Linked DNA regions of Elephas maximus indicus. The protein of the gene in region 3 binds, or shares a complex with, the protein of the main gene of each other region. Links are inferred from orthologs where the notes say so. Each region holds a gene or a part of one and is shown on either strand. Other genes may lie near its edges.

Region 1 (3,749 bases), on a different chromosome or scaffold from region 3:
TGCATCGTATGCATGTGAAAGCAGGACAATGAATAAGGAAGACCGAAGAAGAATTGACACTTTTGAATTGTGGTGTTGGCGAAGAATATTGAATACACCATGGACTGCCAGAAGAACGTACAAATCTGTCTTGGAAGAAGTACAACCAGAATGCTCCTTAGAAGCAAGGATGGCGAGACTGTGTCTTACATACTTTGGACATGTCAGGAGGGATCAGTCTCTGGAGAAGGATATCATGCTTGGCAAGGTGCAGGGTCAGTGGAAAAGAGGAAGACCCTCAACAAGGTGGATTGACACAGTGGCTGCAACAATGGGCTCAAGCCTAACAACGATTGTAAGGATGGCTCAGGACCAGGCAGTGTTTCGTTCTGTTGTGCATAGGGTCGCTATGAGTTGGAACGACTCCACAGCACCTAACAATGACAACATTTTGTACATTAGGTCCTTAAACCATTTTGAATTTTTGTGTGTGCATATAGTGTGAGGCATGGATCCTGTTTCATTTTTCTGCATGTGGAAATCCAGTTTTCCCTAACACCATTTATTGAAGAGACTCTTCTTTTCCCATGAAATGGACTTAGCACCTCTGTCAAAAATCAGTTGACCATAGACTTGTGGGTGTATTTCTGGACTCTCAATTCTATTCCATTGGTCTCTGTGTCTATTGTTATATCAGTCCCAGGAAGTTTTGATTATTGCAGCTTTATAATATGTTTTAAAATCATGAAGCGTGAGTCCTCCTACTCTGTTCTTCTCTTTCAACATTCCTTTAACTATTCGGGGCCTCTTGCTATTCCACGTGAAGTAAAGGGGTGAATTTTTCTGTTTCTGTAAAGAAGACTGTTGGAATTTCGGTCGGGATTCAGTTGAATTTATAGATCACTTCGGATAGTATTGACATCTTAACAATATTAAGTCTTCCACCCCAAGAACATGGAACATCTTTCCATTTATTTAAGTCTTAATCTTTTAGTTTTTTTTTTTTTTAATAATTTTCATTGTGTAAGTCCTTCACGAACCTGGTTAGGTTTATTCCTAGGTTTTTTTTTTCTCTCTCTTACATGTTGTTGTAAATGGTGATTTTTTTCTTAGTGATTTATTTTATCTACACTTTCCACATCAGTAGGGCAAGGTGCTCAGTAAATATTGTCATATGCCTACATGAATGAATTAATAACTGCCAGTGGGTTAGAAATGAATCGCCCTTCCAGCACGTCCGTATAGGTCGCTCTGAGTCGAAGGTGTGTTGTTGTTGTTTTCGTCCAGCACACCCATCCCCTGAAGAACTACATTTCCCGGGATGCTTGTCTTGGCGCCTTCATATGAAGTGCCAAAAGAGCGACATTAGTTGTTATGGCCCCCATATCCGCCGTCGCCGGGGTCGCAGTGTTTTATGGGAAAGGTAGTTCTTGCGCTGTTCGGCCGGCACTCAACGAACAGAGCCAGACTGAACTTCCTGGCAAACAGCCCCGCGACCTGGCAAGCGGGGCAAGATGGCGGACGCTGAAGAGGGTGTTTCGCGGCCGGCAGCGGTCTCTACCGCCCCAATTTCTTTTGGCTTTAGTCGCACGTCCTCCCGGAGGCGGGTGGTGGACCTAGGAGACAGAGCGAGGGCCGCCCCGGAGGAGAAGGATTTCTTGAAGACTGTGGAGGGAAGGGAGCTGCAGAGGTGAAGCGCTGGTTCCCTCACCCCCTGGAAATCGGTGCGGTGGGCTCAGGAGGGATGGCGGTATCTGAGTTGCTTGTCATAGTGAAGGTGGCCTTGAAAGCCTGAAGCACAGCCTGAGGAAATTCGTGGAAGCGAGAAGGCGCGAGTTTGTAGGAGGGGTGGGGAAATTGGGCCTGATAGCGTGGGAATTGAGAAGAGGGGATGTATTAGTGACAGGGAGTGTCTTTAGGACTTGGGGACCCTAAGGTGTGTGCGTTCTAAGAGAGAAAAAGGAGAGGAGGATGACAGGATCCCCTAGTGTCTCAACTGAAGCGATGGGGCTTCTTCGGTATGGGGAACGGGATAGAGCCGCAGATTCAGGTTGAGGGAGGCCATTTATCAGCTTAATACGGAAAGGGGAGCCTGAGGGACCTGAGAGAGGGGCTTCTAGAAGAAGGCGAAGGTGAGCCACTGTGGAAGCCATGGAAGTGGGTCTTGGAATGAACAGAAAGTCCAGAACTGATTCTCTGAAGGAACCATTTAAGAGTTGGAGAAGGAGGAAGAATCCAGAGAAGATACCAGCAGAGACATAACAGGAGAATCATTCAAGAGAATGGAGGGCATGTTCCATGGGGCAGGGGATGAGTTTGACTGTTGTATTTTCTCTGGATAAAGGGATGTGGCTCAGAACCCACTGACCACGTTAACTCTCCCAATCTCACTCCTCTATGTTGGCATCAGTGTGAAGCCCTCAGAAGCCCCTAAGGAACTTGTCATCCCTTTGATCCAGAATGGACATCACAGGCAGCTACTGACCCAGACCCCTGGACCATCCACAGATGCTGAGACCTTAGTGGATGGGGTGCTGCTGTCCCAGGCTGTGAAGGAACTCATTGAGGGTAAGTGACCTCTACCCCTCACCCTGCCCCAATAATGGCAGAAGGGGAGGAAGGGTAGAGTGGTACCTCATTGCTCCCTCCTGTTCTTCCTTAGAATCCAAGAAGTCTCTGGAGGAGAGAGAGAATGAAGGTGTCGACCCCACGCTCGCTATCCCCATGATCCAGAAAGGATGCATCCCCAGTGGGGAAGGGGCAGACAGTGAACCCCAGGCTGAGACAGTGAGCTGGCCCCTTTCCTCTCTCCTGCGCCAGCCCCTCTTCGCCCTATCTACCAGGCTTGCCTCCCTGCAGGAAAAGTCTGTGTGAATTAGAAGCCTGCTGCCTATCCCCTGCTCCTTTTATCCTTTTTAGAATCATTTTTTTAATCCAAATACTGGGGTTTGGAAAAAGTACATGGATTCTTGGGCTAACTGAGTGAGATGTAGAGGAGAAGGAGCAGGAAAAACAAAGGCCCTGAGGTTAGACTCTGCCTGGGGTGTTTGAGGAACACCAAGGAGACCGTGCTGGCTGGAATGGAATGAAGGAGGGGAGGGTAATAGATGAGATCAGAAAGGTAGTGGAGGCTAGACCATGTAGTGCCTTGTGGGCCATGGTAAGGACTTCGGCTTTACTGTGTGTGAGGTGAGAGCCATAGGAGGGCTCCTAGCAGAGGAGGAAGGTGACCTGACTTACAGCTTGACAGGGACCTTCTGGCTTCTGTGAACAGAAGAGACTTGTATGTGAAGGTAGAAGCAAGTGGACCAGTGAGGTGATTATTGCAATAGTCCAGGCGAGAGATGATGGAGACTTAGATCAGAGTGAGGCCTGGAAGGATAGATGAGATTTACTGAGAGGGGGAAGAGCAGGGTGAGTACTCCTAGTGGGAGCAATGGCCTGGCCAAAGGCCGGGTGTCAGGAAATCAGCATGGTTTGTGTCCATCAGGGAGGCAACTTGTAGTAGACCTGGAGCTAATGGCAAATGCAAAGCATCGAGAGGGGTGATAGTGGGAGGTGATAACAGCAAAGGTAAGGGGTGTGTCCACAGAAGTAACCAAGTCTGTCTTTTGTCCCTATGGGCCCCACTTTTTACCTCTTCATTCACAAATGTTTTGCAGTGCCTTTTGGGGGCCTAGTTCTCTTACAGCCCCAGACTACCCTTTCTACTGAACTTTTCTCATCAGCCTTCAAATGTGTTCTGGTTTCATTGCTCTTAAAAACAAACA
Region 2 (3,749 bases), on a different chromosome or scaffold from region 3:
TTCTCAGAATGCCACCTGATATCAATGGATTTGGATCTAAGATAACGAGCAGTACCCATACTCCATGTTTGTTGAATGAATGCCCGAACGAGTAGGTAGAGGTTGCCCACAAACAAACGCAGGGGCCCTTCCTGAGAAACAAGCACTGTTAGGCCCTGGCGTGCCCGGGAAGACACCTAACAGGAGCCCCATGGGAAGGCCACCGCCCTGGCGCCGTCGGTTTCACCTGGCTCAGATCGACGGGTATTACAGCCGGTGAGAAGGCTCCTCTGAGCTGCTCCCAGAGAAGCCTTCCTGGGAATCGCGGGACGTCCATCTGCAGCCCCACCCCAAACTGGTCGATCAGGGCTCTGCCCAAGCTTCACCCGGCGGGATTACAGGTGGCAAAGAGCACAGGCGGTGGACACCAGAGAAAACAGGTACAGAGGCAAAAGTCGGATCCGAACCACAGTCGGTCCATCAGGGAAGCCCCTGGGGTCACGCCGGAATGGTGGCGCTCGAGCGGACGGTGGGGCACAGAGACTCGCGCCCACTGCGGCCGTTGCTGGGGGCTGCTCGCACCTCCGGGGGACGAGCGAGCCGGGGGCTCCAGCTGGGCTTACCTAACTCTCCCGCCCGCGGATGGGAAGGGGAGGCTGCCGCCACCCACCATCAGGTGCGACTCGCTGCCCTGACCCTCGCGCAGGCGCAAGGTCGTGGGGGCGGAACCCGAGCCCCAACAGCCAATCGCAAAGGAGAGGAGGCGGGCATATGGAGAAGCCCCGCCCACCGGCTCGCGTTTATTCCTCCCGCGGCTTTCCAGGTGTAGGATAGGCCGGAGCTCGGGGTTGAGAGGCCGGAAGTAGATCGACGTACCCGGAAGGAAAATCCTTTTCGGGTTGTAGTGTTGATGTTTGCGAGCTGCTGCTGCTATTGTTGTTAAGGGAACCGTCGTCTTCTGAAGGATGGTGTGCGAAAAATGTGAGTTAAGGGGCCGGTTCTGCGGGAGAAGGAGGCTAGCGAACCTAGGTGGACTTCCCGGGACCGTTGCCTTTCTTTTTCTTCTTCTCACAGGTCTCTTCATTCTAGTCTCTGTTCTGCTACCCTGCCCTTTGACCATTCACCCCCCTCTCCAGCTACCAAGCCAAACCCAATGCCGTCGAGTCGATTCCGACTCATAGCGACCCTGTAGGACAAAGTAGAACTGTCCCCTGGGGTTTCCAAGGAGCGCCTGGTGCATTCAAAATGCCGACCTTTTGGTTACCAGCCGAGCTCTTAACCGCTGCGCCACCAGGGCTCCAAGTGACCATATTCTACCAAAAATCACTGCTGCCATCGAGTCGATTCCGGTTCATAGCGACCCTATAGGACAGTAGAACTGCTTCCTCCAGCCCCGATCTCATCCCACATAGCTTCTTGACTGATTCCTTCACCTCATAGACACTCGGGTTTGGAATGGATCTTAAAAATCACATCTATAGTATCTTGTTGCCAGAGGTAGCAAATAAAAACACAGGATGTTCAGTTAAATGTAAATTTCAGATAAACCACGGATTATTTTTTTAGTATGAGTGTGTCACTTGGGTCTTGGCCATGTTTGTTGTCCCTTGCTATCTTTAGGACATACTTTACTAAAACTATTATTCATTGTTTATCTGAAATTCCAGTTTAACTAGGCAGGTGAGGGTGGAGAGACTTCATCTCAGTTACTTCGGACATTTTACCAGGAGGGGCCAATCCCTGGAGAAGGACATCATGCTTGGTAAAGTAGAGGTCATTGAAAAAAGAGGAAGACCCTCAACAAAATGGATTGACACAGTGACTACAACGGTGGGCTCAAACATACCTACTATTGTGAGGATGGCACAGGACTGGGCAATGTTTTATTCTGTTATATGTGGGGTCGCTATGAGTTGGAACAGACTCCAGGGGACCTAACAACATTTTTCTGTCAACCCTAAGTCACCCTCCCATCCAATGGTTTATATATTCTTTTCATGAATATCTACAGTATTGGGGCAGACAGGGATGGGAGAATCTCACCACCTCCAGAGCCGTTTACGTAGACATCGTTGGCTTTTAGAAAAGCCTACCTGCCTGTAGTTGCCACCCATTGATTCTAATGCAGACCCTTGAAATTTGTAGAAAACACCTCATGGCTTTTTAATCTTGTTGTTAGTTGCTGTCCATTCGATTGAGACTCATGGTGTTACTTCATAGTGTTGTCTTGGCTGTATCTTAATGGAAGCAGATCATCAAGTCTATTCTTCTGAGGTACCACTGGATGGGTTCAAACTGCCAACGTTTAGGTTAGCCTCTGAGAGCAAACCGTTTGTGCCCCCTACCCACTACCGTCGAGTCGATTCCGACTCATAGCGACCCTATAGGACAGAGTAGAACTGCCCATAGAGTTTCCAAGGAGCGCCTGGCGGATTTGAACTGCTCACCTCTTGGTTAGCAGCCGTAGCTCTTAACCACTATGCCACCAGGGTTTCCTTGTGCCGCGTAGGGACCTTTTTTTGATCTTCAAGCTGTTTATATTTAGCTTAAAAACAGCTGTCATATCCCCAAGTCTCATATCTTCTGGTTAAACATGTCTGGCTCTTTTCTCTCATTAAGCTTTTTTTAATTATAACTTCATTGAGATACAATCCACATAGCATACAATTCCCCCGCTTAAAGCGTACAATTCAGTGGTTTTTAGTATATTCACAGGATTGTGCAGCCCTCACCACGATGCATTTTAGACCATTTTCATCGCCTCAAAAAGCACATTAAACTTTTCACGTTGACATACTTTAACTGTTTTCCTTCCTGCACACAGCAGAGTTTGTTTGGCTGGTTTTTTGAGTGAATGTGACTTAATTATTTTCCAGTTATGCACCTGCCCTGACATCTTTTCTGTTCCATTGTGCACTTCTTAAATGTGTAAGTTTGGCCTTCCATGTAACTTGGGTTAATTTTGTGTAGTTTAACTTTTGAGAGGACAGGAGTTCTGTCTGGTTTTGTTTGTTATGCATAATACCCCTTAGTACTTTAAGTGCTTTGTCCCAGGAAAATTGAAAATACTGGGGAAACTGTGAGAGTTAATTTCTCAAGGTACACAGTAATTTTGGGAATCCAAGATCAGATGTGGTACTAAAATATACATATTTGATTCTGGGACATGATGTGTATCATAAAAGCTTGTTCCCTTTTTTCTTCTCTGCTGTTCTGTAAGTCTAGCCCTTTATTATATCTTTGGTCAAATACCTTCCTACCACCTAGACCATCTTGTTCCTTAAATGAAAATATACTCTCTCTATTGTATTTTTCTTATCTCCCAATACATCCACTCATTCTACTCTATAAATAAGCTCAGATCTCTCCCATACATAAAGCTGCACTCTCAAGTATCCACCTTAGCTCTCTCTTTCCATTCTCTGTAAAATTTTCAGAGACTTGGCTACATTCATTGCCTCCAGATTTTCACAGTTGCCTTTGAGCACCTTGCAAACTTACTTTCATCTTACCACATTTCTGAAAGGATTTTCAAAAGTTTGCCAGTGATCTGGTCACCAAGGTCAATGACCTTTTTTTCAGTCCTGCTTTACTTCTTTCTACGCTTCTTTAGCATTCTGCTCTTTAAGTTTTCTTATTTCTCCTTCCTCTCTTAAAGTAGATGTTCCCCAGTGGTCCATCTTTGATCTTCTTTTCTCTACTTTTTTTTTTTTTTCGCTTTTTCTTTGGAAGTGTTGGGCTTCAAGGAGTACCTCTATGCAGATGAGTGT
Region 3 (3,749 bases):
AAGTGCTTAACCACTGGGTCATCAGGGTAAGTTACAGTATGATTTAATTTCCAAAGAGTATAATTTATAATTATGGCAGTTCTTGGAAGGCCCACCATCAGTGACTATTTTTACAGAAAATTAGTTCTTAGGCCAAACTCACACTCAAATTTGTAGATGATTGTTTTTTCAAGTAAAATCATGACCTTGATGTTTCAATGAATGAAAAATTAAAGCATTTTTAAATAAAATTTAAAAATTGCTATACTTTTGGTACCATTTTGGGTTTTTTTTTTTTCCTCTCAAAGAATATGTAGTATGCTCCGTAGACACCATCAGTGGAACTCATTATGGTTAAGAAACAGAGCCAGTCAAATGTCGAGTTAAGTTTGCAAATAACCAGCTCCATCGATTTTCCTTTTCACATATGAAAATAATTGAACAGGATTGATAACTGCAGATTCTATCTGCGTAAAAAGCAAGCCAAAAATATCAATACTTTGGCACCAATGTGTTTATAAAAATAAAAATGGTTTAAGTCTTCAATCTTCTTCCATCAGCTTTGAAAAGCTGTACCTACCTTTGCTGAAGTCACATTCATCAGAAACAGGAGTTACGCAGTTTTGAGAGACTTCTTTAAAAAACCTATTTATCTAACAGAAAATAAATTCGGGGTTTTGTCAGATCTTCCTAACGCAAAATTCCTTCACATATCACTTCCCTCAAAATTTTTCAAACGGAGACAATTACTCAGCGACATCGACTCATTAACCGTTTTAGTGGACGGTGTAAGCGGGACTGTTTCAGGCTACAACGGCGACTAAACTCTTCCAGCCAGGTAGTGGGCGGCGACTAAAGGCTTCAGCAAGGTAGTGGGATTAGGGACATAAAGCGCGGAGGCGAACCCCAAAGAGGGGAGACCTTAGAGGAGTCTTAGCGCCGACTGGGAAATCTTCGCTTTCCAGACCCTCACTAAAGCTGATTTCATAAGCTCTCTGAATAAAAAGCATTTAGTTGCCGAGCAATACAGTGCAAACAACTACGGCGCCAATGCAAAACATTTAAAGCGGCGGATAAGACAGAAAACATGCTCATTTCAACAGTTCTAGAGACAAGACAAACGCAGCCACGCTCCTCGAGGAGCCTCTGGCGCTCTGTCCCGAGACTCCGCCCCCAGAGGCGGCCCCGAGGAGAAAGGCCCGCCCCTCGTGCCCAAGACCACCTACGGACAACCAGCGCGCCTGCGCACAATTACGTCATATCCGGCGCCAGGGCGCGCGATTGCGGAAGGGGCTGCACAGTTGTGGCGGCGGCCTTTGCGTTGGTGATTAGTGTACCGTTCCTGCCGGAGAGGCGGATTTCACGGCAGCATCATGGTCGAGGTAGAGTGACACCTAGGCGCTGAGGAGTCGTTTGGCTCTGAACTGCTTTTCTCTGGCGGCGGGCGTGGGTGATAGCGTGTGTTGGGAATCTGGGGCGAGAGAGGCTGCGAGGGGAGGCTGTTTTGCCGAGGCCGGGTGGTCTCTTCTTAAGGTTTTCGGGGAGGGAAGAGGCGGGATGAGAGCACGAGTTTGAGGCGGGAAGCCTGAGATAATTTATTCAGTCCTCAATTGGCCCTTAGGAGCTGCGCCCTGTCCCCGTAGGTGAGGCTTCTGTTGATGTTCGACCACTGGTAGTCGCCGCTCGCAGGGGAGTGCCAGTAATTCTGGATCCTTAAAGACTGCTGTTGTTTTGTATCTTGGTTCCAGTTGGTCTCTTATCGCAGCTCTTCCCCCAGGAAAACCTGCCATTCTTGAGTTTTCACATCTTTTCCTAGATTGAATACCTATTCTGTTAGCAGGTCTTGTCTACCTTGTCTCAGAAATAGTTCGACTCTCTCCACTTTTCTCCATACGCGTCGCAATCACCTTCATTCAGGCCAACATCATCTTTTGCCTGGACTGCTGCATTAGCTCCCAGCTGGTCTCCTTGCTTCCATGTTTGTGCCCCCTAAATTGATCTCTTTAAAACGTAAGTTGGTCACGCCTTCCTTGGTAAAAACCCTTTGCTGGCCTTATGTTACCACTAGGACAAGAATACGGATTATTGTAATGGTTTTAAAAGACCTTACCTGATCTGGACTTTGCCTATTCTTGCAACCTCATTTTGCAACAAGACCCACCCTCTCGCCTAACGCACACACACAACTGCCCTGGAGCTCCTGGCATTATTGCAGTTACTGAGCATCTTTGTACGTGAGGGCTTCCATCTGTCCAAATTGTCCTTACCTCCCCTCTGCAGGGTAACTCAGCCTCTGCTTAAATGTCACCTCAGAGAGACCTTTCCTAACCATCCTGCGTAATTTCCCTTCTCCTTTTTGTGTCTCAGCCCTTGCTTGTTACTTTCATAGCAGTAATAAAAATGTGGGACTATTTTGCTTATTTTTATTTCTCTCTTTGTCCTTGAGCAAAGGGAGCTTGACTCTTTTCATCATTCTTTTGATAGGTTTTAGCGCAGTGCCTGCCAGACACATAGTGTGCACTGAATAAATTACTAATCTCAGGCTTTGCTCAGTTAATGTACCTGGGACTCTAGCCAAAGAGCAGCTTCCTCCTCTTTTCTAAACTTGACTCTTACAGCTTGCTACTGGGAGCAGTGGTGAGTGGTTAAAGCAGTGGTGAGTAATTTGTAGCTACATTTGCACTCTTTCTTTTCAGGAGGTACAGAAACATTCTGTGCACACACTTGTGTTCAGGTCATTGAAGAGGACCCATGACATGTTTGTAGCTGATAATGGAAAACCTGTGCCTTTGGATGAAGAGAGGTAGGCATAGTTTTTTTTCAATTGCTACAATTTTTAAACTTCTAACATTTGGGGAAGAAGGGGACTATTTAATCCTTTAAAGATTAATTAGTAATACTAACAGTCATAAGGTAGCTCCGCAGTAATGAGTGTTGCTGTAGCATAATTTAAGCTGATATAACTTTTTTTTTTGGCCTTACTGTTCACAGTAAAAATCTCATTAATTAATTGCATTTCGCAAATACCCAGTAATTAGGAGAGCCCCTTTCAGGTGTTTTATTTTATAATCAAATCACTTTGTATGTGCTTTCAGCTTCCCGCTGCTCTCAGAGCCTTGCTGAGCTGAAATTGTACCTGGCCAGTACCTCTCCTCCCACCTTTTCTCGTTAGTATGATGAAGATTTTTGAGTGATGGCATATTTTTGGTTCTACATCTCCAGCTCCAGTCTGGGATTGCATTATGTGCAGTGTTCCTTCTTTGTCCTACCCTTCGTTTAGAATCTTAATTCCTCAGACAAGCATTTATGTTCGATTTATAAAGTAGACTATACTTAAAAATAATACAAGTGTGCTTCTCTTTAAAATGTTGAACTAATTAAGTACTTTGATTAGTTCTAACTAACTTTAGATAAATCCAATAAAAATTGTTATAGAAGCTTTTACTGTATTTTTACACTGGAAAGAATTTATCAGTCTCTATATTTTTTTTCATATATTTTTAGATCAATTGGACTCTTGGTATCTCAACATGAAAGAGTTTGTATTAGGTAACAAGCTAAAATACTGCTTAGACTTCATGGATGCTATGTGGTAGAATGTGAGCAAAAGTAAACATGATATGGAAATGCACTTAGAAATTTTTGAAGTTAAAGTTAAAATGGTATTTATTTAAAATCTTAATAGAAACTTTTTCTACATGGCTAGGCAAACTTAAGTTATTTAAGTACTTGTTCTCAGGCTAGCTATAAACATTTGCAGTGGTGAATAT

The links. Proteins that work in one complex are often made in the same cells at the same time.
Region 1: PLRG1 (region 3) and GPKOW share a complex: the UniProt entries of both Homo sapiens proteins name them as parts of the minor spliceosome. The link is inferred for Elephas maximus indicus from reciprocal best matches to the Homo sapiens genes PLRG1 and GPKOW.
Region 2: PLRG1 (region 3) and CRIPT share a complex: the UniProt entries of both Homo sapiens proteins name them as parts of the minor spliceosome. The link is inferred for Elephas maximus indicus from reciprocal best matches to the Homo sapiens genes PLRG1 and CRIPT.

What each region holds. Positions count from the first base shown.
Region 1 is NC_064846.1:122,471,304-122,475,052, forward strand, and holds the start of GPKOW (G-patch domain and KOW motifs-containing protein), read left to right. Parts: upstream 1-1,415; 5' UTR 1,416-1,493; coding exon 1,494-1,669; intron 1,670-2,389; coding exon 2,390-2,547; intron 2,548-2,641; coding exon 2,642-2,766; intron 2,767-3,749. UniProt on the Homo sapiens protein: RNA-binding protein involved in pre-mRNA splicing. As a component of the minor spliceosome, involved in the splicing of U12-type introns in pre-mRNAs.
Region 2 is NC_064844.1:15,567,650-15,571,398, reverse strand, and holds the start of CRIPT (cysteine-rich PDZ-binding protein), read left to right. Parts: upstream 1-853; 5' UTR 854-944; coding exon 945-960; intron 961-3,749. Other genes in the region: PIGF (phosphatidylinositol-glycan biosynthesis class F protein), read right to left, coding at 227-316. UniProt on the Homo sapiens protein: As a component of the minor spliceosome, involved in the splicing of U12-type introns in pre-mRNAs. Involved in the cytoskeletal anchoring of DLG4 in excitatory synapses.
Region 3 is NC_064831.1:28,403,678-28,407,426, forward strand, and holds the start of PLRG1 (pleiotropic regulator 1), read left to right. Parts: upstream 1-1,246; 5' UTR 1,247-1,352; coding exon 1,353-1,361; intron 1,362-2,675; coding exon 2,676-2,782; intron 2,783-3,749. Other genes in the region: FGB (fibrinogen beta chain), read right to left, coding at 560-580. UniProt on the Homo sapiens protein: Involved in pre-mRNA splicing as component of the spliceosome. Component of the PRP19-CDC5L complex that forms an integral part of the spliceosome and is required for activating pre-mRNA splicing.